4 linked regions of the Drosophila melanogaster genome follow. The protein of the gene in region 3 interacts with the protein of the main gene of each other region in a pairwise test. Each region holds a gene or a part of one and is shown on either strand. Other genes may lie near its edges.

Region 1 (7,003 bases), on a different chromosome or scaffold from region 3:
TACCCACTCATTGGTTCTTTTAATTGGCGTGCAATTGTTTCAGTTGTAGCTGGATCAAAACATTCCCGTGCGGAGCTTTTGGACGACAGAAATTGGGGTTTAATCACAATATATCAGCACACCATTATTTTCGGGTAGAAATCGTGCGGTGTTGAACAGCGCTGTTGTTGCCATGCCACTTGCTGCGAGTGAGCTGCAGGGCCTTTGTAGCACTGGCGGCTTGCAGTGTTGAGCAAGACGAAACTACGTATCGGTTGGATATAATAACGTAAGCGCGGGAAACAGGGCTGCCCAAGAATACAAAATATTTCACACATTATAATTACAAAAAGGTTGGCCAGGTTGTTGCTTTTAATCATTTTAATTTCACAACTTAATTCATTCGAAATTATATTTTTTCAAAATAAAGATTTGCAGTCTATGCTTTTTTCCGAAAATATGCGATTTTGCATTATAATAACATTTAAATTTCTTATTTAAAAGGCGATTGGCGCAAATCATTCTTTGTATAAATATAAAATATATTCTAAATAATTTGGCAGCCCTGGAAAAACGTTAGAGAACGACTGCTAAGCCGTAAGTTACCCATCTTGTAGCCCTTGGGCGCCAAATTCAAAATCATAGCTTACCCTTCCGTGACTCGTTTATTGTACAAACAGAAACTTATTTTAGAGCTAAGCTACAGCATATTTATTGTAGTAAGAAAATAAGGACCATGACGTTTGGAGCCTACTCCACCCGTCTGCGTAAATCAATTAGGCAGACATTTATCAATGATTTTGTTTTCTCCTTTTAGTTTAAATTTCTGTTAATGGTAGTTATCGTCGTTCTGCGAATAGGCGATGTGATTTCTTAGGTAATTACGTTTAGCATTAATTGTGGCCCGTTTCATCAAAAACGATATATTGGTTAACCAGCTTAGAGACGCCATAATAATGCGTAATGGTTCTCTCCTGAATGTTTATCAATGGGGTTTGTGTGTGAGTTAGTGATTGTATGAGGATGTTCGTTTGTGGATCTGGAGTGCCTAGTGAATCTGAATGATGCCCGACTCCAGCAGTTTCATTATCTTATCGGCGATGGCAGGATTCTGCAAGTGTCTGAAATATAGAGGTTGTTAATTAAAATATAGTATACAGGTTGTTAATAATATATAAGACCAAAGAAACGTAAGTCTGCTTGTTAACTTCAAATGGGCTATTAATTTCTAGATTTTACCAATGAAACCCAAAAAAGCGAACGAATAAAGCCAAACGGGTACTTACTCTTTGACCGCATTGGGATCGCTTTGCATCTGCTCGAGGATCATACGCATAGCCGGATCCTTTAAGATCTGTTGAATCTCCGGGTCGGACATTGCGTTTTTGAGGACCTCCTGCGGATTGCGCTGGAAGTTCATCGAACACTGACGGTAGCCTTCAATGGCCTCCGCGTTGTTGGGGTCCAGTTCCAGGGCCTTTTGGTAAGCGGCTTGCGCCTTAGATTGTTGCTGCATGCCCTGTAGAATTTTGCCCTTGCGGATGTAGCCCTTTATGAACTTTTCGTCTAGCTTGATGCAAGTGTCGCAGTCCTTGAGGCCCAGATCAAAGGCGGCCAGCTTGGTGTAGCAGGCGGCGCGGTTACTATAGAGTTTGGGATCATCCGGATTGCGCTTGATGGCCTCGGTGTAGTGCTTTACAGCGGTGCTGTAGTCCCCCTTCTTAAAGAAAAGGTTGCCCTGCTCCTTCTCTTCCTCGGCCTTCTCCGGATTGATGTAGGCCATTCGCTCCTCCTCCTTGATTTTGGCTTCCACCTCGCTCAGCGAGGTCTTGATCTCAGGGGTGCGATGCTCGGACATGGCCTTCTCATAGTAAACCTTCGCCTGCTTGTAGTTCTCTAGCTTACGATAGGTGTTACCGATGCGAGCAAAGGACTTAGCTATCAGCTTAAAGTCGGCGCGGCTTTCGCGCCCCACCTCAATGCCCTTCTCGCACTGCTTGATGCACTCCTCGTACTCCTTGCGCTCAAAGTGAACAGCAGCTATGTTGTTATAGAACGTGATATCCGTGGGATCGTGTTCAATGGCAGCGTGGTAGTGTTTTAGGGCCGTTTCAAAGTCCTTTTTCTTGTAGGCGGCGTTGCCCAGTTCCTTCTCCTTCCTCGCGAAGTACTTATTCTTCTGCTCCTCAGTCATGTCCTCTACCCGAGGTTCAGCGGGCTTTGGGGGCTCAGCCGGTTTCGCCGGCGGTGGCGATGGAGCCCTGCGGCTGCGTGCCTGCTGGGGATCAACGTCCATGGGTATATCCCCCTGCGATTGCATAAAGCTCAGAGCCGAGGCAGTAGTTTCCATGCGGCCTTGCAGGAGTATAGCATTCGTGGGATCGTACTTGAGACCTGCGCCGGTAACCGAGGTTAGTGAGGTTAGGTCGGGTGATTCATGGCATATAACTGAGCTGTGTTTGAACTTACCCTCGTTGTACGCTTCGAAGGCCTTCATAAAGTCATTCAGACCCGCAGCGGCAGCTCCTTTGCGTGAGTAACCCTTAGGCCAGGTGGGATTAAGCTGAATGGTCTTCTCCGCATCTTCTAGCGCCTCCTGGAACTTTCCAGCCTTGGCGAATGCCGCCGAACGGTTGCTGTAGAGCACATGGTTCTGGTCGTCCAGAGCGATGGCCTCTGTGTACGCCGCCACCGCCTCGTCGAACTTCTCGGCACTGAGCGCCTGGTTACCCTTTTCCTTGAGTTCGTTCACCTGCGAAAACCGCAAGGGTTTTTGATTGGAAATGCCAACGCCTTTCCTTTGTCTCGGGCACTTACCTTGTCCATTTCTGATAAGGGAGAGGATAGCGCTGTCGAATTACAGTTTTTCCTGTATTTTTGTACGACTTTTTAATAAAACACGCTGCGAAATGTGCCGTGCCAGGTGAAAATGCGAAAAATGCCGACTTTTCTAGAAGCAATCGATAGGGTTGTCAATGCTTCTGCGACTGAATTTAATCTTTTTCCAGACTGCGGTTTAGAACTTAGCTCGTTCTCAAGCGGGGAACAAAACCAGCAAGCCTTCTTAAATAATTTTTTCCATTGCTTATATAAATTAAAAAAATTGTTGATCAAATATAAATAATACCTTGAGCTTTATAGAATTTAAATGTTATTTTATTGTATTGTTTATTTATGTTTATATTATATTATTATTTGCGTAAATAATTTTCTCAATTTCTTATTTTGAATTGTAAAATTTTTCTAGTCAAATGAAAAATAAGTCCTCAGGCTTTTAAGTGCATTAATATTTAAATATTTGAAATTAATATTTAAAATGTTAGCATATTTTAAAACATTTAAATTAAGAACAGAGGTATCGAAAAACGATGCTGCCAAAAACACTAAATATCGATAACTAATCATCGATTTTATTTGCAACTCTAGATTCGAGGCTGGCAACGCCGTGCAAAATACGACCAGACGCTGCTTTTTTCGGTTTCCGAAAATAATTGAAAATTATCACTAAATAAACAGGCGGCTAACATAATTGCAGTTTGACCGCGTTGCAGAGACAAGCGGGTAGATAAGTTACACATTTTGGCCACAGCAACACCACAGTAAAGCCGCCAGCATGGCCGAGTACTTGGCATCCATTTTTGGCACGGAAAAGGACAAGTAAGTCGCATGGCACATTTATTTTAACGTTGCCGGGATTAATAACTAAATGGCGTTGCATTTCCCAGGGTGAACTGTTCGTTCTACTTCAAGATCGGCGCCTGCCGCCACGGCGACCGGTGCTCTCGCATCCACAACAAACCCACTTTCTCGCAGACGGTGCTTCTCCAAAATCTATACGTGAACCCCCAAAACTCCGCCAAATCCGCGGATGGCTCCCATCTGGTGGCCAACGTCTCCGACGAGGAGATGCAAGAACACTACGACAATTTTTTCGAGGACGTGTTCGTAGAGTGCGAGGACAAGTACGGGGAAATCGAGGAGATGAACGTGTGCGACAACCTAGGCGACCATCTGGTCGGCAATGTGTACATCAAATTCCGTAACGAGGCTGATGCGGAAAAGGCGGCAAACGATTTGAACAACCGGTGGTTCGGTGGTCGACCGGTGTACTCGGAACTATCGCCGGTGACCGACTTCCGCGAGGCTTGCTGTCGGCAGTACGAGATGGGCGAATGTACCCGCTCCGGCTTCTGCAACTTCATGCACTTGAAGCCCATCTCGCGTGAGCTGCGAAGGTACCTCTACTCCCGCCGCCGTCGTGCCCGCTCCCGTTCCCGATCCCCTGGACGCCGTCGCGGCTCCCGCAGCAGGTCCCGATCCCCGGGTCGAAGAGGAGGCGGCAGAGGCGACGGTGTCGGCGGAGGAAACTACTTGAACAACGAGCGGGACAACATGCGTGGCAATGATCGCGGAAACGATCGCGATCGCCGCAAAGGTGGTGGCGGAGGAGGCGGTGGTGGTGGTGGACGGTATTAAATATTCTGGACATTTTTTCTGTACGGTGGCAATTGAGAGAGAAAGCAACGGACAAGCAGTAACGCAAAGCATCGTGTATTTTAGTCTCTGCGTTGGTTTTCCACGTTTTTATATCACTTTTGAGTAAACGAGATGGAAGGAGGAGGAGGAAAATGACGATGGGGAGTTCCACCACCTATGTACAAACCCCCCGCGAAATATTTTACCGAGCGCCCATTAGAATTGTAATTTACTATACATACATTCATAATAATAAAATTGAGTAATATTATACTGGAAGCCATAGTAAGAAATGGGTCTAATTGTCAAAAAGTCCAGGCACTCAAAATAAAAGACTCCTCACAGGTATGGATAACATCCAGAAGACACCACCCCTTGTTAGGCCTGCAGTCTTATTTCGCTTTGTAAGATTGAATCTTACCACGTTGTTTTAATTATATTTCCATGCGCAGATGGCTTCACCAACTGAAAACGATCAACAGCGTAAATGATGCTGTCAACTGTCTTAAGACGAAATCTTAAAATCTTCAAAAATGCGTACATTTGAACAACGAAATTCTTGTTTTCCCCGACTTAGTCTTAGATTTTAATAGGTGCATATTTAGGGGCATATTTGTGATCAAGCTATGTCAGTTGGCGGGCTTCCATCGTGATTAGTCGTTCCACCCTGAGGAACACCTCTGAAAGCCTCGCCTTCATTTTGCACTGCTGGCTTCTCCGCTTGAAGATTACTCTGTGCGCGATGCGTCGATGGAGGTACGGGCGTGTCAGAGGAGTTGCTAGACGCCTCCCTGGCTTTCAGTTGCTTGGTCATGTCTATTTGCTGCTGCAGCGTGTAGGTATTCTCGTGTTTGCGCCGTTGTTGCTGCTCAACGTCCCTCAGGACACCATCGTGCAGTCTCAGGCTGGAAGTTAGAGATCGGAGGCTATAACTTTATTCCGGAGTATTTGGCTTACTTACCGGTCTGCCGATTGTTTATAGTGCACATAACCTATGATCGCTGTGGAAATGGAGACCGCCAGTCCCAAAGTCACTCGCGAAGCGGTCGACATGACTGGGCACCGGTCTGCCGCTGGAGATTTCCGCCTAAAATGCCTGCACTAGGAATTTGGCTGTCGGGTTGTGTTGTTTTGAAGTCGGTTCGGGTTACGACATGACTTTAAATTTGAAAGAAAAACAACAGCACCACACAGCTGACAAGAGAGTGGCCAGTTTACGGAAGCAAAGTTTTCCCTATCCAGAGTTAGTGCGCGGGAAAATCAAATTAATTCCCTTCAAATCAGCGCAACACTTTTGGGGGTCCTAAAGCCAATTGCAGTTAGAAAATCTCAGACTATTGAAAACTTGAAGCTTTAGACGAAAATACAATTTCGAAGTGATGTATATAATAGCGATTTCCGTATCTAGTATCTACATACATATGTACTACAGAACTTCTAGCCTTTATCAATGACTTTTTATTTAGGTTTTTTATACTTTTATCTACAGCTATGACGCAGTGCCTAAAAATAAAAGCAGATGCTTATCTCTCCGCAAAGATATCTTTTTAGTTATGCCTGCATTGTTTCGACTCATCTGGTTACTCACTAAGCAACATACATCTTAATGGGTGGGGGCGATTCATTCAGGTGATTGGCCATCATTAACCCATAATGGAGCCCACACTCCCGAATCCGGAATGCGAAGCCCGGAGTCCGTCTTCCGTGGTCGGTGGTCCGGACATGCGCAGCACGCACCTGATGCGAGCGACTGGAGGAACGACACCACAAAACCGAGGCAGAGACAGAAGCAACAGCCAAGTACAATGGAAACGAGTACAAAAGGCAGGAGGCAACACGGCGTATGGGCAACAGTGCGACTCCAGTTTTCCATACGCTCAGTTGTGCCCGCGGTCAAGGGAAAATCGCAGCCGAGCACTTCCTCCGAGCGAAGCCAAAAAGAAATCAAGAAAATACTTAGCGTGCGTGTGCCGGGGACCTGGTGATTTGTTCAGAGTGTGGAAATCAAACGAAAGGCAATCAACAATTGTTTTTAAGGGCCATAAAAACCATTAAGTTATTAACATAACCGATTTATAAACAAGAGCCACGGGGATCTTCTTCCAGGGCGGTCAAGATTTTCAAGATTTTTTCAAGATATTCCTGGCCAACTTTAGGTTCCATTAATATTTATGTCGGTGACGCAAATATTGATTTAAATTTGTGCGCGCTTTGAGTTGACGAAAGCGAGGTGTTTTGACTCAAGAGCTAAAACACCTTGACGACGATTTTAATTCACTTCTTTCGCCCCACCGCAAAGCACAGACAAAAACAATACACCAATTTTTCTTTTAAAATTGAAGAAAAATTTATTTTCAGTTTATCAAGGGATAGTAGTTCTAAATGGTTTCTTTCTTTCTTTGCCTAAAAAAAAGTTTTATACTTAGCACTTTGTACTACATGAAAATTTCACAATTGTTGATTTAGATATATAATTAAATTATGCACTGTATATGGAACACTGAAATGTAGCGAATTAGAACTTGAGGAACATATTGCAAAATTTTTC
Region 2 (7,658 bases), on a different chromosome or scaffold from region 3:
ACCTGAACCAGAAATCACACACAAGAATGTGGGGCCCGGTTTGTGGAGCGCTGTGGGGGTTGCGAGGCGGAGCGAGAGAGAGAGACGGTGAGCGCGAGAGACAGAGTGAGAGAGATGGGAAATGAGAACGCGCGGGCGGAGCGGAGTGCAATGTTTGTGTGGCGTCTTCTTCTTGCTACTTACAACGATCAGCTGCTCCGCCGATTGACACAACTTGTTGAATAATCGGTGTTAGTCGAGGGCCAACGTTATCAGCTTATCGATGTGCGTTTTTTATGAGAAATTGCTTGATTATGAGAGAAAGTGGAGGGCACAGATTGGTTAGGCAACACTGATTGTGTTTATGCGGTGTTAAAGACTTACCTCTCGCTAAAAGGAGCATTCGAAACTCGATTAATATTGGTTTTTCCATTTCAAAATAGCCTAATATCGTTCACCGCATCGATAACTACTACTTGAATTCAATAGCTATCGATTCGAAGGGCTTTCGAGTCAAGGGCGCCACATCCATCTTGTGGCTTCCGCATCCATGCTGCCGTTTGTCCAGGAGAATGTGCCGGAGATGCTGCTCCAGCCGGCCCGGTTGGCCTTCTGCGCCAATCTTCACGTGGGCCGACCGCGGGATGACCCCACTACATTGGTTTTAGCGAGAAACCTAAAGTTCTACGAATTCCGGCGCAAGGATCTGGTGCACTACATCGATTTGAAGGTCACGAAACTAAAGCAAATAGCCACCCAACTGGAGGCCTACGACGGACCGGTTTGTCCCTTTCTGTCCAAGCAGGAACCCACTGACGAAAAGGTGGACTGGAGCATGCTGGATCCGCCGGAGGATTTGCCCCTCAAATTTGGAAAGTTTGTGTGGCAACGGGAGGGCATCTACCTGTTAATTCAGTGCTGGAAGCATCTCGTCGTCCTAAAGAGGCCCAAGGATCACGGGGCCAACTTCGAACTGGTGGCGGATCACAAGGATGTGGTGGACTACCAGATGGTCGAAGGTCCCATTTCCTTCCAGGCCGTTGTGGAACTGGAGTTCGGCAATGGCAAGCGTCAGCGTTGTGATTTCCAGGAGGATTTCTTAAATGAGGAGCCCAGCACGTCCAAAAATGCGGGCTTGCCCGCGAAGGATTTCGAGAACCTGCTGCAGGAGGTGCACCGCGCCCAAGCCGAGCTCGACAGCCAGCGAATGCAAAACCAGAAGGAATTAGCCCACGTCCAAGACCTTCTATACTTCGGCACGCCGGGCCAGCGTTCGCTGCTCCTTGAGGAGAAGCAGCCGCTCCGACGACTCGGCGATGTATGGACTCGGATCTGCGGCGATTATTTTGTTTGTGGCACTCTGCTAGTCAACATAACTGGCACCAATCGCCTCACCATAGTCAAGGAGTTGTATCCGATTGTTGTAATCGAACCACACACCGACTTTAGCGTGGAGCACCGCCTGTACGAGCTGCCTCTGCAGGCGGATGGCCAACCACCCGAGGACTACGACCAGCTGGCGCAGTTTTGGGCCTGCCAGGATCAGCATAGCAGGCGTCTCAAATGGCGACCGGTGGAGAAGGAAAGAATACTACCGCCGGAACGATCTGCCGCGATGGTAGTGAGCCTGCGTCTGGTCGATCTTCTTGAGGCAGAGAAACTCATATTGATGGCAACGTACGAGATGGGCGAGGATGCATCCCCTAGGCAAATCCATCTCATTACCTTCGATGTGAAGAAACTGCTCGATAAAACAGAATCGTTGGCACCCACATTTTCGCCCGCCACGCTGCACCAAGACTTTTTGGCCGTTATTATGACGCACACGGCACGTTGCTCCCTGAAATTGGAGTTCCAGTCGGCCCAGGATTGCACGACATTCGAGCAGCTACTCGTCTCCACGCTGCAGTTTCAGTTGATCCAAGCCCAGGAAGCAAACAAGGAGCCGAGTGAGTAGCTTTGTCAAGACCACTTGTTGTCCCTTTTAACTCATAATCCCTTACAGCTTCCGACTTGCTGGACGACAGTGAGCCTGGGTCTCACTTTCAGTCTTCCAACATCGCCGCCGATCCTGTCCAGCGTATTTTCTACAATCGCCAGCCGCAGTCACAGTGGTGTGACACCTTGCTGCTTCGCGACGATCCCGGAAAGCATTGGCATGTGTACGCCAGAACGGACGATCGATTGCGTCTGCTACTGCATCGCCTGACGCGCGATCTCCTCCAGCTGCACTGCAACCTCAATGTGCTAGAGGTCGCTGAGCACAACATGTCGCCTGCCGACATGGAGATGGAGTTGCTAAACAGTCTGTTCGAGGAGATGGACGCCTGGAAGGTTTTGAGTGAGCCGGCAGCCAGTGTGGAGCAGCGCCGGGAGCAGCTGACGCAGCTCCACAAGGCACAAATGGCCAGCGATGTGTTGGCTTCTATGCTATTCACCGATGATGATGATGACAATGGGGCGTAAATGCGTTTTTTTTTTCTTCTCTTTGCATTGGAAAATCTACAAAGTTGATATTTTGTATGTAAATGCTTTGTTAACAATGTGTTTTTTGCATTGTATATTTTTATAAAAACATTTTGTTGTATTGCATTCTTGTCAGAGTTGTAAGTTTACAAATTAAAGCATTTACGCGAATGTTAAAGCACATGGGAAAAGGAAGAAGGATATAATAAATGCATGACTCGGTTGTGTCATTTTGTCACGATTACTTTAGAACAACTTTACAACTTAAAGCTAAGTGGACTTGGTCTGGCTGGAATCGATGGGAGTTGGTATCCGATCCGGATCCTCACGTGCTGATGCGCCGCTGCTGCTCCTCGCTCTTGATGATGCTATCGAGAACGTTCTCCAGATTTTGCGTGGCCGCCGACAGTTCGGCATTATCGCTGTACGAGTCCTCGACGATCTCCTTGACCTTGTGCAGCAGCAGCTTAAAGTTCACCATCTCGGTGTCGCGGCCATCTCCGCCGTTTGCCGGCTGCTGTTCCAGTAGAGCACCCAGCGGCATGGGCAGCGGCAGAGGAGCCGGCAGGGAACCAGGTCCTTGTCCTGGCTGGACACTCGAGCGACGCTGGTCGAACCACAAGCTTATGTCGTTGAGCGAGTAATCCGATTTGTTTGCCTCCAGATAGCTGCGATTCAAGTCGGCGCCATTTACTACAAGAAACGATTAACTTAGTGGAGCTGTCTCATGGCTCTGTTGAAGGTTCTCTTCTTACTGGAGTGCGTGAGATTGGCACCCACGGGCGCATACATGTCGAATAGCATCTGTCGCTGAGGCGTGCTGGAGCTAAGGAACGTGGAGCTGACTAGGGGCGCAGCTGAAGGCGCCACTTGGGCAGCTGGCGCAGGTGGCGGCGAAGTTACCGCTGAGGCATGCTGCAAGTGTATATAAATGGAGTTAGCTCAGCTTAAATGGGCCGAATGTTTGGAAAACTCACTGATAGCTGTCGCATATCCTCGATAATCTGCAGCAGAAAGCACTGATGGGCGCTCAGAAACTGCGATATTTCCGAACTAGATGCGGTGGCCACTGTTTGCAGCTGGGTTTCCAGCTTCCTGAAATGCAAGAGAACCTTAAGGCTTGGCTAACAAGTGTGGCGAAAGAAGGGAAAACACCCACGCATTTTGCAAAAGCAATCGATCGATGATGGACTGCAGCCTGCTGGACGCCTCGCTGGCTAGACCCGTCAGGGAGCAGAGCTCCTGCTGCTGTTGCTGCAGGACAACTGTGCGGTCCTTCTCCTGGCACTGACTGCGCACACTGCGCGTCTCTGCGGGAATGGGCGTGGCAGCGGATTGACCCAAGGCGGGCCCACTCTCCTGCGCATTACAGAAGCCGCGACGCTCCTCCTCCTGTGTTTTGCGCGGCATCACCAGCCAGCCGCACAGCCTGGCCAGGTGGCGGGTCCAACGCAATGGCGGCTGATCCTCCACGAAGACCTCGCACATCCGATGACCCGGCTCGTGGCGACCACCAGCGAAGCCCACTGCAAAGCAGGGCAGGCACAACGATATATCCCTACACACCTGACACCGGAAACGTATGCCCACAATGTGCTCCTTGCGGCAGCCGGCACAAGAATTACTGTGAATCAAATGCTCGGTGTCCTCGATGCGTTTCACCAGTGCCAGCAGATTGCCATAGATCAGGAATCTCGTCTGGACACCCGCTCCCGTCCAGAGTTTGTGGAACTGCGGCTCGGTCAGTCCACCAACGCCATGCGGACAGCGGGCAAAGCACTGCTCCATAGCCAACGGAAGATTGTGGACGCCATAGGCCTTGGCCTCGCCCAAATAGCTGAGTAACTTGCTCAGCGTGGCTAGGAGCTGTTCGAATGCATATCTGGAGATGATCTGCGACTTGGGATCGGCCAGCAGGCCAAAGATGTCGCCCACCAGGTGATCGCTGCTATATAGCTTGCACAGCAGTATGAAGGTGATCCTGATCTCTAACAGGGATATGGAGTGTCTGCGTTGCCTAGCGAAACCAATCAAATATCAGACATATTCTTAAGATGCCAGAAACTCAACCCACGGATCGTAGACATTCCAGAAGAAGTTGGCCAACAGCCCGGTTGCCCTGTCCAGTTTATAGTTCGCATCCTGGTTGAAATGGCCTAGTTTCTCGCAGGCAAAGTATACATCGTGCAGCAGGGAGGTCAACTGGAATGGAGGAACCATCAGTTCCAGGCCACCACTCAAGTTATGGCGATCCAAAATGGCCAAAACCAGCTTGTAGGGGATTTTTCCAGCTGCAATTTGAAGGTTAATCCTTGGGGACTCCTTCGAATGGACCACCTACGCGACTGACTCACTGTGAAATATCTTTTGCAGCGCCACAAATTTACTGGCGCACCGGTATACCGTGTACTTGTAATTCCCGTAATCCCGCTGCAAGTCATCCATGATGGTGGATAGCTCTTTGTCCACCTGTTGCTTTTGTCCTTGGCCACCTTGGGATCCCTTTTCGCGGGCAATGGACGCCACGGCCTCGGCGCTATTTCGCAGTTTTGTCAGCTGCACGGGCACCGACGATCTCAGCATTTTGTCAGGCGTTTATTGTTATATATTTCCCTTGATTCTCGAATTAATTTCAGTCTCTTTTAAACGCGTCGTTTCTCGCGATCTCTTCCTCTTCCGTTAGCGCAAAAGTCAAATTGTGTGGCGTGAGGTGGCAACGCCGCGCGTGTTATCGATATCACTTCGCCGAACCGTTAGCGCTTTAAATTTGATTCAAAATTATTATTATCATTAATTAAGTCATCCGTTCGTTCTAAGAATATTTGACCATGATATAATAATTGGTAAATAAGTTTGAGCAACGGGAAATGTAAACTGAACAACTTGGGTTCACCATAGTATTTTCCCAATTTCAAAAACAAAACAAAGTTATTTAAAAACCCTTCTTTTGAATGCGAATAATTACCCAAAACGAGGAAATGGAAAGAGTGTCACATAGATTTTAAAATTAAATATATATTTTATGTATATTTGCATCATTCCATTGCAATTACATTCACTTATGCTATTTTGTTTTTCATTTACTTTGCTTTCGATTTAAAATAGTGGGTTTCTTATCATTTCGCTTGTTGTTTTTTGTTTGCTTATATCAATATTATAATATGCCAAGTTTATATGTGAGTGTTGTGGCGGGGCGGGGCGGGGCTGGGCGTTCGAAGAAGGGTTCGTAATTAGTTTATTTAACTTTTTTTTTTGCCTTTTAAAAGCATTCTCCCGCTTCCGTATGCGAATCCACGACAAACGCACACAGATGTTTGCGTTCACATTATATCAATCACTAATTATAATATGTGTTTGGGCGTGTGTGTGTGTGTGTTTATATGTATGTATATAAAGATCGTTCGCTCTTCATTTGCAATGCGCGTTTGCCATTTATGCTAGGGGGGGCGTGAGGCGAGATATAAATTTCCATCGATTTGCTTAGTTAAAAGTACGGCCATAATCGTAGCTGATGGGATTGGGGCACATGGATGTTGGGGATGTTCCTAACTCCACCTGAATCCACTGCTCTCGTCGACTGAAGGATTCAAGTGAAGGCTCGATTTTTACAAGGTTTAAGGTATAGTTTTAGCTCACTTAATTGCACATACTTCTATAGATTCTATATGTATAAAGTTCCTTTCTTTCAGATTAAAGTTCTTTCTTTCGCTGCGACTGGTTTGCTGGCTGTGTTTCTGTTTTGGTTCATCGAGTTATTTGAATTGCTCGTTTGATTTGTATCTGCAATTGGTTTTCAGTGTGATGGCGGCTTGGTTTGCGGTTGAGAACTTGAAACCTGTCTGCTTAGAGTATAGAAAGTTAAGGGTCTGTCTGCAAATCAATTTAGCATTTGTATATTTCGAAATGTTAACTAAAATGATCATAAGGTACGAAATCAAAGCGAAACCACATCGAGATCCATCCAATGTGGCTTTGTTCTTCATTTTCGGGGGCGGTCGGTCGACAAATAGCGCTGCTTCAGAGTTGAATTGAATAAATTATGCTATGCTAAAAGTTGGGCTACAAGGTTTCTCTGTTCAGTTTGCACTTATACAAATTATTATTATTATTATGATAGATAGAATAGTTTACAAAACTAGACTAACTTAGATAGTATAGCATTAGCTACGGGGCTTACAGCTATATTTATTTACAATGTTATTATATCTTAATTTAGTTAATATCTAATTTGGTAACTAATTGCTGGCTTGTTATGTACAAATGCCTGTTTTTGTTTTTGTTTTTTGTTTTCGCTAAACAAAATCAACTATAGGTAAACATAAAAAAAATTGCGTTTTAAATTGTATAATTTTCGTTTGCTTTTGCTATTAAATATATATATATATATATAGATATATATATACATCTATATTTTTATATATATATATATATCTATATATATATATTTATGTAAATGTATGTATTATATTAAAAATAAAAATATATACACAAATATTATTATATACATAAATATAAATATATATATGTATATATGTTTTATATGTAAAATTATGAAGTATAAGGGTATCTTGACAAAAAAGTTCTTTTGTAGAGACATAGAAAATTATGCTCCTGATTTGTTTTTAGGTGGCGGCGACGTCTTGCCCAGGTTTCACATCTCCTCTTGCCTTTAATGAATAAAACTGACATATATTGGATTAGCTTGTGTTTGGGTGTGCACATTTCGCAAGTTAGACTTCGGCGTAGTATGCACTTGATCCCATTAATCCCATTCAAAGCAGACAAAACGGACGCGTACAAGCGGTTCCACGACTACGATGTAGTGCAGCATTCCGTCCCGCTCATTTTGGCTAACAATCCCCCATTGCGTTGGCCGAAAGCTGGACATATGCACTATCAATTGCATAAACTGTGGACCAAACAATGGCGGGATTGGCATGGAATCTATTTATAAACCGGCCTTGTGGTGGGTGTGGTTTGTTGTTACATCTTCTTCGATCGGGTGCGAGTGTGTGTTTGTGTGTGTGTCTGAAGGGGTGGTGGTGGGTGGAGGAAGGGTCGGCGTACTTGTGTGTTTGTGTCTAGGCGTGGCTGTGAGGAGAACCCATTTAGAAACGATAATTCTCATCGGCCATATGAACGGCCCACAGAAATTTGGTTCTTTGCGTTTTGTTGAATATCTTCTCAATCGGCACGTCATGCTTTTTACACCT
Region 3 (7,558 bases):
ACCCGTCTCCTCGCCTTGTTCACCCATTTTCTCAGTCTCACAATGATCGATTTTGTTATTTGGCTGGCTTTTATTTATTTATACAAGTTGACGTGTATTGCAATCGGTAGGGTGTGTCGGCGTATCGCTGCGAATGACAAATACTGCTAAATACGATTCCCTGTGAATTTCAAGCAGGGCGGGAAAATTTAAGAAGACTCACTTTAACTTTTGATGCGAAATATTTGATAGTACGTAAAATTCGAAAATATATTATTCTAACTTTTTGTACATACAACTATAATGTTGAATAAAAAGTAGTTGGGCAACCGAACAAGAAGCTGTTTATCTAATGAACTAAATGTAATGCATTTTGTAGTTCTTTAATATATAAATTAAAAGCACGAGGTCATACATTACCCGTATTTACTTACTTTGAAATCAGCGACACAACGAAGCACATACAATTGTCTGAATATTTTATTATTACACAGTTCGAAGTGGTTTGATTTCTTCCTTAGACATAGCAACTTAAGAATCGAATACAATAAATCCGTTGACAACCCGCCATGATATTTTAGATTCACATTGACAAACAGGCGTGAATAAGTTCTTAAGGATATCAAGCATTTAAAAAGTACTGCGCCAGAAGTCTACACCTTACATTCGTACCCTGGCGTGGACGATTTTGAATGCATGCGTATCAAATACCTAGCTAATGTTGAAAAATAACATGTACATTTGATTGGAAAGTGCATTACGTTCTGTGGTTCAATTTTCAATTTTAAGTAGTTGGGTGTTACACGCGTATGTATGTACCTTTTATGATTTAATTGGAATAGATTTAGACGAGCAGACGCGATTCCTGGTGGACATGGAGATGGACATGGACATGAACATCGTTTAATACAGTGGCTTGCTCGACAATGAATTCTTCTACGAACACGAATAGGACAACTAACTAAATTGGCAAGTTGTTGTATAAATCGAATGTATATAAACAAGCATCGCCGTCTCACACACACATGTTGCAACACCGAGACGAACCGAACACTCGTGTCTTACAATTAATTAAAGGAATACAACTACATAAATACACCGCGTATTTATTGCCACACATTACCGATATTAAGATTCCCAAACTGCTGGTTCAGATTTGACGGTACTGAGGAGGTGGTGGGCCCCGTTGCGGCAAATCCGCCCGCTCCTTGTGGCGGTTGGCCAATGTTCAGCCCACTGGGCAGGGGCTGCATTAAGTTCATGGAGAGGCCGCCAAGCTGTGGGTGATGTTGCTGCTGAAGCTGCTGCTGATGTTGCTGCTGCTGTTGCGGAACAGCTCCAAAGAGCGGCATCCCACTGAGAATGCTCTGGTTCGTTTGCATAAGATTTGTTGCAGCTGCCTGGCCTGCGGCAGCATAGGGACTGCCCCCGGTGCTGGGAAACTGGGCTCCAGTAAAGCCATGGGAGCCGCCCATGCTCATCGCAGTGGCACTGCTGATGGCAGCATTGCTGAACGCATTCGGTGCAGCCATAACTGGCGAATTATACATGCTCACCGAGTTCGGCGGTGTCATAAACTGGTGGGGGATCTGCTGTTGCTGCTGCTGGTGCATATAGCCGCCTGGGGCCATGCCCGTGAAGCCGCCAAAGTTCATCTGGGGGTTGTGGGTGGCTGGCGCGCTGCCGTACAGCGCCAGAATGCTGTCCTTGGACATCTTGCCAGACTGATCCTTCTCGTTGCCGCCGGCGCCCAGTGAGCCCTGGTTGAAGAAGTCCTGCTCCTCTTGTGCCAGCGAGTTCGGCTTCGAGCCCATCAAATTGGCGGCGTCGCCGTTGCTGCCAATCGGCTTATCCGGCTGGCCGGCAATCGATTCGGCGCTGAGAAAGCTGGTGAAACTTTCGTTTTGCAGGTCTTGGCTGGCATTGGTCGCGACAATGGGCTTGGTGGGCGAGGACAGTCCCAAGAGGTCGCTTTCGCCGGCACTGCTAACGCCGCTGCTGTTCAGCTGGACGCGTTGCGTCGTCTTTGGGCTGCAGCCGCCGACCTGGTTGGGTTTCGGCTTTGGAAGCGGCGCGGGCAGGGGGGTGTTCTTGAGCGCCGACGCAGATGACCCGGACAGGCGCTTGTCGCCGCTGCCACCGGCCACTCCAGCCAGGCCCAAAGTGGCCTGGGCCTGCGTGCTCTTCTTCTTGCGCTTCTGGCGCTCAAGCTCCTCGTCGATCTCCTTGGCCCAGTCCACTTTCGGCGGCGAGGGAGGCACCCACTCGCGGGCCAGGTACTTCTTGTGCTCGTACTTGGCCCGGATGAAATTCTCCAGCGCTGTGTCCGTCTGCGGGCGACGGAAGCCGTCCGGCAGCTGCGCCTCGTAGACGGCGCGAGCCCGCGAGTTTCCCATCTGCTGCAGCGAGATCACCTGCTCTGGCGTCCAAGTGTCCAGGTTGACGGACTTGACGCGCGATATGTGCACGCCCAGATTGCGATGGATGCCGGCGCAGCGGATGCAGAGAAACATGCCCAGGTTCCAGGAGGCCCAGCGCGGACCTAAGGATAAAAGGTAGCATTCAGTGACAGCACATAGGCTCATATCGCAGTGCAGCTGCATGTGTGGTGTGTATATCCACGCACGCACGCACACAGATGTGCGTCACCAAGAGGCGTATCTCTTGGCGGAGAAGTGGACCCCATTAACATACCCTTGGCATCGCAGTCCACGCAGTACTTGTTGTCCTCGTCGCGGAGCATCTGCGTCAGGAGGGTCTGGCACTTCTCCTGAATTAGCTTCGTGCGCTGTCCCGCATTCGAGGAGCTCATTTTGGGGTATGCTTGCGGTCTGTGAGGCCTGGTTTCGATATTTGTGGCGGGGCGCAACTGTGCGACGTGGCGTGGGCGACGGGTAGAGTTGGCGGAGCTTATCTCTGCTTCACATGGATATACAACTACCAGCGAATTGAATTGACAATTTTCTACAAGTTTTTGCTACCGAAAAAGTGATGCGTCCAGTGGGACCGTGTGGCGGTGAAGGCAGCTAGCCTCCCTGGTTGTCACTAACGCCAAGCCGTGCCATCTTGCCATTCACAGGGAACCGAAGCCACTTTTTAAAAAAGTTGTTTACTTTTACTTCTGCCCACAGAACATTTGAACTCACATTTGCCGGCAAAAATGGAAATTTTGCGAACGAAACTAGAGGCCTGCCTGCTGATACTGAACAGGAACAATGCAGCAGCTGCAAACTGGCTGAATGTAAGTGGGGGAAACGGACCACTAGCCCCAGGACATCAATCACTTGTTGCTTTGAATTTCAGGACCTGTGCGCCGTGCTATTGGAATTCGCTACTTTGGCCCACAGCTCCTTCTGCTCCCAGGGGCAGTCGGAGTGCTCGGAGCTGGTGTGCCTCTGCCTCAGCCAGATTATGATCTGCATTCGCCAAGTGGAGAACACCATGAAACTAGAATGCGGCACCACAGTCTCGGTGAGTAATTTGGATCTCATCCATGCATTGCACAATGATGTCTAATCCTCTGAAAGCAGGTAAGTCATCAGTACTTCCTGGACCGCATTCGCTGGTGCCTGAAGCGCCTCATGCATCTTTACAGCGAAGAATCGAGTTCCGAAGCAGTAGCTCCGGAGCGCTCGTTCCTTAAGCTGGTGGATGGCGCATTGGATTGTTTGGCGCAGTTCACCTCGCACAGTGAGGAAAACACCGATACCTCCAACTGTCCAAAGACTCCCAAGGAAGTCCTTCCACTCAGCCAGAAGTTGCGCGCCAACATTGATTTGATCTTGGGTCAATCTCTGGGATTCGCCAATGTGGCTTTGTCTCAGGACAAGAGGGCTCTCAGTGCCTTGTGCCAAAAGGTGGGTGTACATCTTCTGCAGTATCCCCTTATTTATTCCCCTCATTTGTGCTCTAGGTCATCCGGGAGTGCAATGCCTTTCAGGAGGAGTGCAAGGAGTCATTCAGTGCCAACTACCTGTCCACCCTTAAGCTGCGGGCCATGACCATGGAACAGGCAATTTACCAATTGGAGGACTTTATCAACGATGCGCTTTTGCGCTTGGTATTCACATGCTTCCTGGACTTCGAGAAGTTTTCGGTAGACAAAATTAGAGCGCTGTTAAGGAACAGCCCAGATAATGATGATCTGGCCGATGAGTTCATAGCGGACTTTGATGTGAACATAGATCGCGCCACCCAGATAGGCATTTTTGCCATTTCCTTTGCGCCCAACTTGAAAAGTATAATAATTATATATAATTATAAAAAAAAACGCAATTAACTCCAGTACCAATTCCTTTTCAGTGAAAACCATAATGCGCAGCTGTCTGGCCTCCTTTGAATCACTGGACACCACTCTGATACCTTCACTGCAGGCCCATGGTTCCGATTTGCACTCGGACATCCTAGAGCAGCACTTTAACGAGGAGGTGGCCAAGTTCAAGGCAGCGCTTCAGGAGATCATCGACAGCCGCGCCCTCGTTGGTTGTTGCCTGGAGATACTGACCTCAGGGATAAGTGCAACGGAAAAGCTTTTCGATAAGCAGCGATTGGAGGACTTGGTTCAAATCTCTTTGCTGCTAGTCGAGCACTTTCAGCTGGAAGTCAACCGAAAGGGTCTAAGCGAAACGCAGGACCGATTGGGGGAAGAGTACTACCAGCAGTTCATCCGGGTACTGCGCGAGTGCAAGGCTATTTTGATGTGCGCATCCCAGGTGGAGCCGCAGAGAATCCTCAAGCGCTTCAAGATCTTGCGCACGATCTTGCGCAAATTGCACGGCTCCCTGGGAGCTGGTAAACAAGAGGAGGAACTTCCTATTCCCCTGGCTCCCCTTTTAGCTGATGATACCAAGGGGGTAAATGAAGACGAAACCCATTTCACTGGCTATAAAACAGCCCGAAGCGGCAGTATCCTCTACGACACAGAGCGTAGGAATAGAGTAACTAGACGAACGGACAACAAGCTACCCACAAATACCTTGGACATTAAATCGGATAAGGCAAAACCCCATGGAAATGTTCTGAGAAGTAAGTCGGCTGATGTTTAGATAAATTTGGTAAGGTTACCAATGTTTTGAATGCTATTTTCAGGAGAAAGTTTACGGACTGTCATGTTCAAGCGGCAGAATATAGCTGAAAGCAGAAAGCTATACACCTCCATGAGTAATCAGTCTACGGATCTACAAATCACAGGTACCTAAAATGATTACATTTCCTATTTTATAAGTTTTTCCATTAAATTTCGTATATTTTTAGATATACTCGACCAACTCACTGGAATGTCCAATGGATACTTTGAATGCTGAAGCATTTCAACCATTTGTACATAACTTTTTATTTAGTTTAGTGTTTAAGTTCATACCATTTAAGAGATTTTGCAATTCAAACTTAACGTACGTCGCCACCTGAATGTCATAGGTCAGGTCAGGCATACACACAAACATGTATGTTCCTCGGGTGGCGAAGAGTATCGCATCGGAAACAGTTTAGACTGTTGTAAAAGTAGAGCAATAGGTTCCAATAAATATATAGACACATAGCACACTTGTCAGCGCATCTCCCTCGGTCGATTGACCTTTCAATTGCACTGGACACCCTCGTTCAACCCAACATGTGAAGCTGTGTGGGCAATCCCTATCGATTTTCCACCACGAGCGGCAGCCAGGACTCGCAGTCAACAGATACACACGGTAATTGCTTGGTAAACAGTAAGCACTCGGCTATGAAATCTCTGGCCGGCGATAAATTTGCTCTGTCCGAAGAGATTGGGCCACCGCCTTGTTCTCCCAAACACCGAAAAGCAAGTGCCGTGAGTAGGGACACGGATACAAATAACCATCATGTGGTGCCGCTGGGGATCCTCGTGGTGCTCTGCACTGTGTATCTCATGGTAGCCGGGATGCAGCGCAACTACAGGCACTATTTTAAGCCGGGCGTGGCTGCCTTCGACCTGCACCATGCCCAGCCGGAAGCCATGGCCGACGCCGAATTGGATGTCGCCGCTCCAGATGCATCGTGCCAGAGGTTGGACGTTTTCGGAAAGGAATCCAATCGGAATCAGGCAGTTTCAAGAAGATCCCAAGGCAGGCCCACGAAGAGAACCAAAAACGGCACTGGAAATGGGGTCAGCAAGCAACCTCGTCGTTTGATAAAGTCCCCGGAGGGGCACAAGAAGAAGGAAGTTGGCAAGAAGAGTAACACAGCGGAGCCCATTATTTACCTGTTCGCCCTTGTGTTTGTCTATCTGCTTCTGAAGGCCGCCTCGGACATCAACCAGCACTACAAGTCGGTAAGGATAACCCGCATTCCATTCCCTATTGCCACGTGAATAATCCTTCTTCGGCAGCAGAACAAAGGGGACAAGCGACTGCGCCGGTGCTCGCTGCAATCTTATGCCCAGATCCACAAGCAGGATCGCCGGTCATCAAAAGGTATTTCACCAAAATCTTTGCCAAAGTTTTAGCTCGCTGGGGGCCAGGTGCCTAGCCTATTACACCGTGTTAACGAGGGATCAAGTGAATTGTTATCCTATAAATCTAAATGTATCTACCACTATGTACTGAACTAGCCAATCTTCTCTACTCTAAAGCACCAGTTTTCTGACTTTTTCGGAAAATGTATTGTTGTGTATTGTGTATCTCTCGTCTGTCCTCAATCTCTATACATCTATACATCTGTACATCGCACTTTTCGGGCTCGATTATGCGTTTGATATCTGTGTTTTTGAACGACCTCCACTGTTTACCTCCTCTTCACCTATCTGTGAAACTGTACTGAATCCGAATATAAGGTTGTACATACTCGAATGTATATTACTGTCCTAAGTGTACGTAATCCTAAAATAAATCAATTACTATGTGCTTTCCTGTGATCAATTTACATACGTAGCCGTGTTAGCTTGCGTTTCATTTCCTCCGTTCGATTGGGCTTTTACGCAATCCTCTGCGATCCTCTCTCACCCCGAATCCCAAACTGACCGCTCTACATTTCCCCAATGCATGCCAAAAGTGGATGAGTCCCCCATCTTCCGGCGCAAGCATATAATCAGCGAGGAGCGTTCCGTATCTGTGGATCGCTTCAAGTACACGCTAAACGATGAGGGAGGCTTCACCAGGTCCGTTCCGCTGGTTCAGGAGTATCACTACAGGGTGGTATCTCCTTTGGCCAGCCGACCCAGTCAGCAGCATCCGCATAAGCCGGGATCCGGAGAAGCCCGTTTCGGTAAAGAGTCCCCACAACAAAGTGACACGTCCCATAAGACCAACTACTTTCTTCTCTAGAGCCTCGTCTTAACCGTCGCTCCTCGGTTCCGATCAGCATTAACTATCAAACGGTGCACGTATCGAGTCCACATCCTCCGGAAATGGCCAGGCGCGGCTCGGTGATAAGCCTCACTGGGCCACCACCAGAAGTCAGTGGTATGCCAAGTGGAGCCGCTGATCCAAAGCGGCGCGTCCGCATGATAAATCGCCATTGAAGTCCAGAAGTCCAGATGAGATCAGGACACAGCCCAACGAAATTGCAAAGAGACTACAGTATTTTAACACACCATTCGGAAACAGAAACCGCACACGTTGTAGTC
Region 4 (7,299 bases), on a different chromosome or scaffold from region 3:
AGGTATGGTTCACTCAAAAGCACTACGTCCGCATGGCGCTCCTTCGCTGTTTGAGTCAGGAGGTTCTGTGCTGCTGCGCAATGGTTAACGTTGAGCTGGATGATGTTAATTTCTTCTGGCATCATTTTGACGGCTATTAGCTCCTTTGGTGTTGGCTTTGTAGGTGGGGCATGCAAAACCACCCGTCGCGTGGTTCTTGTCCACGTCACTGCTGCAGATCAGGCATCTTGGTGGGGCTACGCAGCCCTTTGCCTTATGCCCATGCTCGCCGCACCGTAGGCAGCAGTCAGAGCGATCGACTGACTTGCAGTAGGGAGCTCGGTGGCCGAATTCGAGGCATCTGAAGCATCTTATTGGGCGGACGTCTTGGGCTATGCGGCAACGCGACCATCCCACAGTTACAACGCCCCGGTTGATGACCGCAATGGCATCGTTCGCGCACATTAGCACAGAGGCTATCTGGGTCCCGTCACGCCTCCTGCGAAGGCCTCTTACATCCTCTGGTTCCAGGCGGATGCCCTGAAATTGGGAGACCAGGGAATTGTGAAGGTCCTGAGCCGTCGTTGTCTCGTCTAGTCCGCTGCAGATTAGCGCAGTCCTATGCGCGCCCGTGCGAACCGAAGCAATCTCTTTGAGCGTCGCTTCTAGCTCATTTTTAAAGCTGGGGATGACCTCCGAGGCTTTACCTTCTAATTCAAGAAGTAGTTCTCCCTGTTGCGTCCTCCTTATTTTACGCACGTGCTTGCCGAATTCGGTCAGACTCGGTTCTGCTTTCATCTTCCGGAGCATATCCGAGTACGTAACCTCACCCGTTTTTTTCAGGATTAGCGCCTCAGGTTTTTTGCGCAGGCGCTTGGGCTTCACCTTAGCCCATTCCTCGTCCTTGTTAGCGTCCTTGGCGACAGACGCATAACTTTCCGGTTTGGAGTCAGCCGTCGTGGGTAACGCCTTCCCGGTGGATTTCGCGGCAGATCGATGGTTGTCCGTTTTGCGGACCTGCACATTCGGTAATGCCTGTCTGGGTGGCGCCACCTGGCTACGCTTTGTCTTTTCTGCCTCAGTCTGTGTGGCAGTACTCCTTGGTGGGGGCTTCTTGTTGATACCCTCCTGTAACTCAATCGCTCTCTTATTGAGCGCCGATAGGTCCACTAGCACGCCCCTATCCTCGCTGGTTACGTGACGCCTAGTCTCGAACGAGGATAGAATGGCGGTGATCTTGGCTTTCATCATGTCCAGGATGCCCTGCAGGTCCTCATTCTGGAGCGTCGTGGTCAGTTCTGGCGAGCGATGCGGCGATCCTGATGGGGACTTCGCTCCCGCCCTTTGGGCCGGCACGCTGATGAAATCCATTGTCTTCAGGCTTGTGGCTGTCGTGGAGACTGTAGTGGCCAGAGTCTCCACCTCCACAGCTGCACTGCAGTCGCTAGCTTTCGGCGGCGGGGGGCCTGCTTGCTCACCTCCCCCTCCCTGGATTTGGGTTCCGACTCCTCTTATAGGGGATCTCGATAGCCTACCACTCCTCCTAAACGGGTCGTTGGGGTCGGGGGCACTGCCCCCCCCTGTTCTGTCCATCAGATATAAAAGGGGGACTTTGGCTTGTTGGTCCCCAGCGCTCCGTGGGAAATAGAACTAGCTTCAGTTCTTAGGTTATATTTCAAATTTTTGTTCAACTTAATTAGTTCAAATTTGAATTTGAATTCGAATTTCGCGCCCAACGAGCGCGCGGCCGAATGACGATCGCACCGCTGATCTGGCAACGCCAGTCTAACCAGCTCGTCGACTGCGAAAGGTTGGCAATGCTATCAGCTGTATTGTCTGATGCAGCTGATCTGATTTATTACCAGTTTACTGGATCACTCGTGAATTCCGGAACGACACCGTGACGCTCAGAAACGCGGCGCAAACCCCAGAGTGGATTTGCAGGTTTATGTTGCAGTTTACGGCTGACCGGACTCGTATATGACGAAATTCGCGCAGCGCAGCAAAAAGACGTGCGAAATACGCGGGACAATGGATGTGTGTGTGTGTGTGTGTGTGTCTATGTGGAAGGTAAACACATGTCTACTTTGAGGCACAGCAAAAAAAAAAAAATATATATGCAAGTGTCGATGATTTAAGTACATTTATAAGTAGTACGAGCAAAATACGAAATCTATAGCTAGATTGCTTCTTACAACTAAAATCAAGTTTATATCTCAAGGATGTGATATTGTAAGAGAATAGAATACGATTTTTCCCAGTGTGACTTCATCTTCAGCTTATTCCTACCCATCTTGGAGCTGCTGCCATTCATTAATCCACATAGAAATGCCAATGGCAGAGTGAGATGTTGATGGTGAGCTGGTACAGATGGAGATGGAGATGGTGAGGTGATGGTGACCAAAGCGAATGCAAACGAAGGCGGCTGAGGCGGCACAACAACAAAGCGGCCAAGAGGCCTATTAGCCACAATAAAGAGGCAGCCTCACCCCCTTTCGAAATCCCCAATGCTCATACCCCTGGAAATTCTATTATGCAGATGAATGGATGGATATGGGACTAACCATCCGACTGCCTAACTGACTGGGTGTTTGTGTGTTTGCCCCGCCAGATGCCATTACAATGTAAACCCAACAAAAGTTCATTCGGTGGACTTGATGCGGGCATGGATGCGGAGACGTCTTCATCTCATCCACGTACTTCTTCTCCACATATCCGAGGCAGCAGCACTTCCAGCCACCGCAGCGGAACAATTGATCAAATATCATAATTTATCAAATGACAATGCAACAGGCGGCGGCCTCTGAACGTTTACGTTCCCGTATTTGCTTGCCCCAATCCCCACACCAAAGACACCGATCTCCAATTCCCAAATCCCCCCAATCCATTCGAAAGCTACAACTTAATTTATTTGAACAATTTAGGTCTGACACAACAGCCATCGTTTGGCTCTGTCGTGTTCTTTGCGCTTATTTATTTCGATGGTCAGTCGGCTCGAATCTATTTAGCATAATTGCAGCTACGATCAGAACCGAGACCCGAGTCCCGAGATAAAATAATGCATTCTTGTGTGGGGTCTGTGTGTAATCCTAGATAGGGCCACCAGTGGGTCAGATAACCAAATTAAAACAGGCTAGGGAAAATATTGGGACAAACCGATTATTGTTCTATTATGGTAAACTTAGCCATGGCATTAGTTCCAATCGAAATGGGAAGTGCATTCTTCATCGAAGATTGTGCATTCAAATCAAATTGTGTGTCAAGTTTGCTCACAAATTGGTAGGTTTATGGATGCCAGATAGGTTGACAATACTTTTGTATTGGTTAGTTTATGAGCTTTCTTTTCATGGAATAGCCAAAGAATTCGATACAGTAGTCTGCGACTATATGGTCCATCAGAAATCTGTGTATAGCATCTACAATTTTTGTGTTTTGTCAAAAGTGAAATTTAAAGTGATACGTTTGCTGTCTCCTTACTTCATCAACAACCAAATTGCAATGGACAATTATGAGAGGGCCAGAAAACTGCAGGAGGAGGCGGGAGTTCCTCCTGGGGGAATCAAGCGGTGCTGCTGCAACTGCAGGAGAAAGCTGGATCCCTACCAACTGTTTGACGATAATGTGGAGGATATAGCCAAGAGCCTGGCGCAGATAATGCTGATCTGTGGCATCAGCACAAGCAAATCCAGCGCTGCCAGGTCGATAATTAAGAGGGCTTTCGTTTACCATGAACGACTGCGCACCAATTGTCCACCAAATCCGGCTACTGACAGTCGCTTGAATCGGGAGGACCTGCTCCAGGCTCTGCGACTGAAGTGCGAAATGGAACCGGTGGAGGCGATGCTCACCTATGCCATCATCAAGCGGGCCTTTAAGGCCTTCTATCACGGCAAGCCACCGGTGACGATCAGCAATCCCATAGTGGATGCGATGGCGGTGCACACCCAATATGCTGCTTGGATGCATGCGGCGCACAAGACATCCAGGATCTTCGACAACTACAAGGCGGCCTTCTTTTGGGCCCACAAGCACTACGAGAGGCAGATCAATCTGGTTTATGCAGCGCTGTATCAACGGATGACTACCAGATCGGATCCCCTCCTGGTGCCGGGCTGTCCTTGCAAGGGCTGTTCCAAGCAGGAAGTTCCCGGACATCCCAAGGCCGGCCAAAGGCAAATGATGAAGATCAAGCTGTCGGAGGGTGCAGATCTACCAGAACCCTGCATCATCTGTGGCTTGCAAGTTCCGCAAATGGATAAGGAGGTCAGGATGAAGAAGCCACCGCGTCCGATCATCAACCATGAGGTTAATCTACCCAGATGCCAGCAGTGCAATTCGCCCTTCCTCATCTGCGAATGCAACATCGATCAGTTGACGGGCGAGCAGTTTGGCGAATGCGGCCAAGACTCCTACAAGGTGAAGTGGTATCGTCTGGAGGAACCAGTGGCCATTTCCCAACCTGTTTCCCAACCGCTTGGCGAAGAGGAGCAAGATACCAGCTATGATGAAGCTGTGGAACCCCCAGAGGACTGGGACAATCACCATTGTCCCATCGACTGCAAGCACGACTCCTGCAGCGAGTCCTCGAATGTTTGCCACAGCACTTCTTCATCTGCATCTTCGGGCAGTGATTTTGCCACCTGTTCCGACGGCGTGGACAAAGAGGAGGATGTTGTGGCCAAGCTGGAGGATTATCTCAACAAACTGTGGGCCGAGGAGGTGGCTCAGAAGAGGAATCCATCGTATGTGCCGCGAACGATTCATCCTCCTGGTCCGAAGTGTATGAAGTGCAACGACTAATTTTGTACGTTTAAATTTTGGCTATATAAATTATTGAGTGATGAAAAGAGAGCTATTGTTGACCCTTAATAGCCAGAAACAAGTAGTCTAAGTACAGAACGTGTTTTCTCACCTCTGCTACCAAGTTTGGTTCAACGAGCTGCCACCATGCCACCATGCCACCATCCGGGCCACCCACTCCCACACCTGGGGAATCGATCGCCCACACGGGAGCCGGCGCTTATCACACGCCCACAGATCGCGTCTTGACAATGGCCACTTAAAATGCCATTGCCGGTTGTAATCGCCACTAAATTGCTGGCACCTCGGCTTATTCGCGGCTGGAGGACGGAATGGGACGTGGCATTCGATGGGATGGAGCTACTGTTGTCATCGCCGGCTGCTCCGCCCAGCAGCTCCCAGGAGCTTCCACATAAATCGCTGCCTTTATCTAAGCACTTGCATCTCGCGCTGGAACAGAGGCTCCTCCAAGCTGCACCACCAGGATGGTGCGGATCCGCGGATTCGGGCCTGTTCACGCTCCTCGCCGCTTATCAATCTCAGCTCATCTGCACGCAGAACAGAACAGAACCGAACTAAACCAAACTGCAACTAAATGGGCAAAAAGAACCCAAGTCGAAGAACATCTTCTGCGAAAAATAATTCCGCAACTTGTCACATTTTGTAAGATTCAAAGTCGCAGAGACAGGCACTAAACTGCAGACGCCTCTGCGCCAGGGATTCTGGGATGGGCCTGCAATGAAAGGAGTCCTTGACTGTCGGGATTTAACTATTTTTATAGGGTATTCGTAGATAAAGGGGCATACTCGAATGTTAACAGCTACATAAATATAATAATTATTAATGGCAACATATTGATCTTAATTTTATAGATGGTTTATTATTGGTTTAGATTTAAAACTTTGACTTTTTATCATTATCATTCCTGTAGTCGAATCACCCGTGTTTACCCTACATATTTTTGGCTAGGCCTAGACTTCACCCTCGAATTGCCGCCTGCATCTCCATCTGCCTGTCGCTGTGGCATGTTAAACTGGAGTCACATTTGCATATAGATTTATTTTTATGTCCACTGCCTTCGGATGGCTCGTGAACTATTTATGTGTGACGACGATCCAATCGCTTGGGGGAGCGATCTTTGGATGGATCCGCGATCGGTTCTTGCCCAAGAGTTGTGCCATTAAGCGATGCCCATTAAATGTTTGGAAATATTGGAATATCTCTAGATAATGCCACGTCTTGCCAAATTTCTAATTATGATATGCTCACATTGAGTTTCTCTATTAGCCCAGTTTTGATGCGTCTATGTCTGTCTTCCCATTCCAAAAAATTTTTTTTTTTGCTTCGGCATGTGTGTGGTAAACAAAGCTCTCACACTCAATTGAGTGCCACTTTTCGGCTTCGGATGAAACTTGGAGGCAACTTGGTGGAGGCAGTTCAAGAGACGCACGAAACCATTGAACTTTTCAATAGCCATCAAATTTGCGTCTAATGCGAACTGAGACTCGGAAAGTTTCCCGCCATCGTCTTTCAATTTGTTATATCCCTGCATTCAATGCGCACTGCAGCCACTCGAAGTTCACTTTGATAGTTCGAAAATCATTTGCACTCGGAAAATGCATTTGAAGTTTATATATATGAAAAGATAAAACATAAGTTTATCAGATGCCCAAGGCAAGCATTAGAACTTTACAAAATTTCTTTGTGTGTACATGCGGCATCTATCTGCTGCATTGTTGTGGGCCTGAAGCTTAATGGTCTTTTTATAGCTGCTCTTTTTCAACTTCAATTAATGAAGTGTCGAGTTGTTAACACCAAAACACACGCCCAGCTCCCAGTGGTGCAGCCTACTCCCACCGATACCCAATCCCCATGGACCGACCTCTATTTCCAAACATTTCGCCCAGCCGCGGGATGGGAACAAACTTCGCCGCGGCTGCAGGTGGGGGGGGCAGCCGAAAATGTAAACAAACAAATTAAAACGAGCATCGACACGGCAGCTGCAGACTTGGCCTCAGGTGAGAAAACGGGCACACGGAGCCGGGAGTTGGGAAAGCGATGGTCGAAGGGGGGTGGAAAATGCATTTTCACGGCAGCGCCAAAAGCAAACAATCCAGACGGCAGCCGAAGCGGCCAGAAGCTCTTTAATCCCGAAAACTTTGGTAGCACTTAGCGGTTTACGAGGCTGCCGAGCAGGCCCTCAAAGTATTTAGATATCAAAGTGGTAAAGGTGATAAAAAGCCATCCATTCCATCCGCTGCACTTTTGGCGACACTTTGTCGAGATTGAGTTGTTAAAACTGGATGTGTGATTAAAAGTGAAGCTATGACGCTAATTCAACTTTTAGTGGGTAAAGAGGTAAACCCACTCATGGTCTTTAAAATGTAATCCAAAATCTGGTTGACAATTGATTACATCTGGGGTTCCCATGGATAGGAGAAGCCTCTTAGCCCGAACTTCCTATTTATTGATCAGTTAGTACACTTCTCACATCATCCCATTGTGGTTGAGTTTGCTCCG

Evidence for each region.
Region 1: the proteins of Spt (region 3) and U2af38 interact in a two-hybrid assay, tested with the Drosophila melanogaster proteins (one large-scale study listed by BioGRID).
Region 2: the proteins of Spt (region 3) and dah interact in a two-hybrid assay, tested with the Drosophila melanogaster proteins (one large-scale study listed by BioGRID).
Region 4: the proteins of Spt (region 3) and CG9173 interact in a two-hybrid assay, tested with the Drosophila melanogaster proteins (one large-scale study listed by BioGRID).

The regions. Positions count from the first base shown.
Region 1 is NT_033779.5:291,074-298,076, reverse strand, and holds U2af38 (U2 small nuclear riboprotein auxiliary factor 38), read left to right. Parts: upstream 1-3,395; 5' UTR 3,396-3,592; coding exon 3,593-3,636; intron 3,637-3,704; coding exon 3,705-4,455; 3' UTR 4,456-5,074; downstream 5,075-7,003. Other genes in the region: Stip1 (stress induced phosphoprotein 1), read right to left, coding at 1,028-1,100, 1,266-2,373, 2,449-2,731, 2,797-2,805; CG11562 (uncharacterized protein), read right to left, coding at 5,075-5,360, 5,417-5,508. UniProt on the Drosophila melanogaster protein: Necessary for the splicing of pre-mRNA. Binds to the polypyrimidine tract of introns early during spliceosome assembly.
Region 2 is NC_004354.4:15,325,814-15,333,471, reverse strand, and holds dah (discontinuous actin hexagon), read right to left. Parts: upstream 5,131-7,658; 5' UTR 5,029-5,130; coding exon 4,800-5,028; intron 4,737-4,799; coding exon 4,520-4,736; intron 4,463-4,519; coding exon 3,605-4,462; intron 3,541-3,604; coding exon 3,423-3,540; intron 3,361-3,422; coding exon 3,201-3,360; intron 3,139-3,200; coding exon 2,771-3,138; 3' UTR 2,470-2,770; downstream 1-2,469. Other genes in the region: CG9114 (uncharacterized protein), read left to right, coding at 530-1,928, 1,985-2,445; Top1 (topoisomerase 1), read right to left, coding at 7,554-7,656.
Region 3 is NT_033778.4:8,918,231-8,925,788, reverse strand, and holds Spt (spitting image), read left to right. Parts: upstream 1-3,033; 5' UTR 3,034-3,139; coding exon 3,140-3,220; intron 3,221-3,282; coding exon 3,283-3,450; intron 3,451-3,509; coding exon 3,510-3,836; intron 3,837-3,892; coding exon 3,893-4,217; intron 4,218-4,281; coding exon 4,282-5,004; intron 5,005-5,067; coding exon 5,068-5,169; intron 5,170-5,232; coding exon 5,233-5,282; 3' UTR 5,283-5,519; downstream 5,520-7,558. Other genes in the region: CG8237 (uncharacterized protein), read right to left, coding at 1-27; CG8243 (uncharacterized protein), read right to left, coding at 1,086-2,521, 2,674-2,791; CG8248 (uncharacterized protein), read left to right, coding at 5,699-6,265, 6,323-6,439; CG34219 (uncharacterized protein), read left to right, coding at 6,975-7,197, 7,257-7,453.
Region 4 is NT_037436.4:1,419,541-1,426,839, reverse strand, and holds CG9173 (uncharacterized protein), read left to right. Parts: upstream 1-3,368; 5' UTR 3,369-3,477; coding exon 3,478-4,779; 3' UTR 4,780-5,641; downstream 5,642-7,299.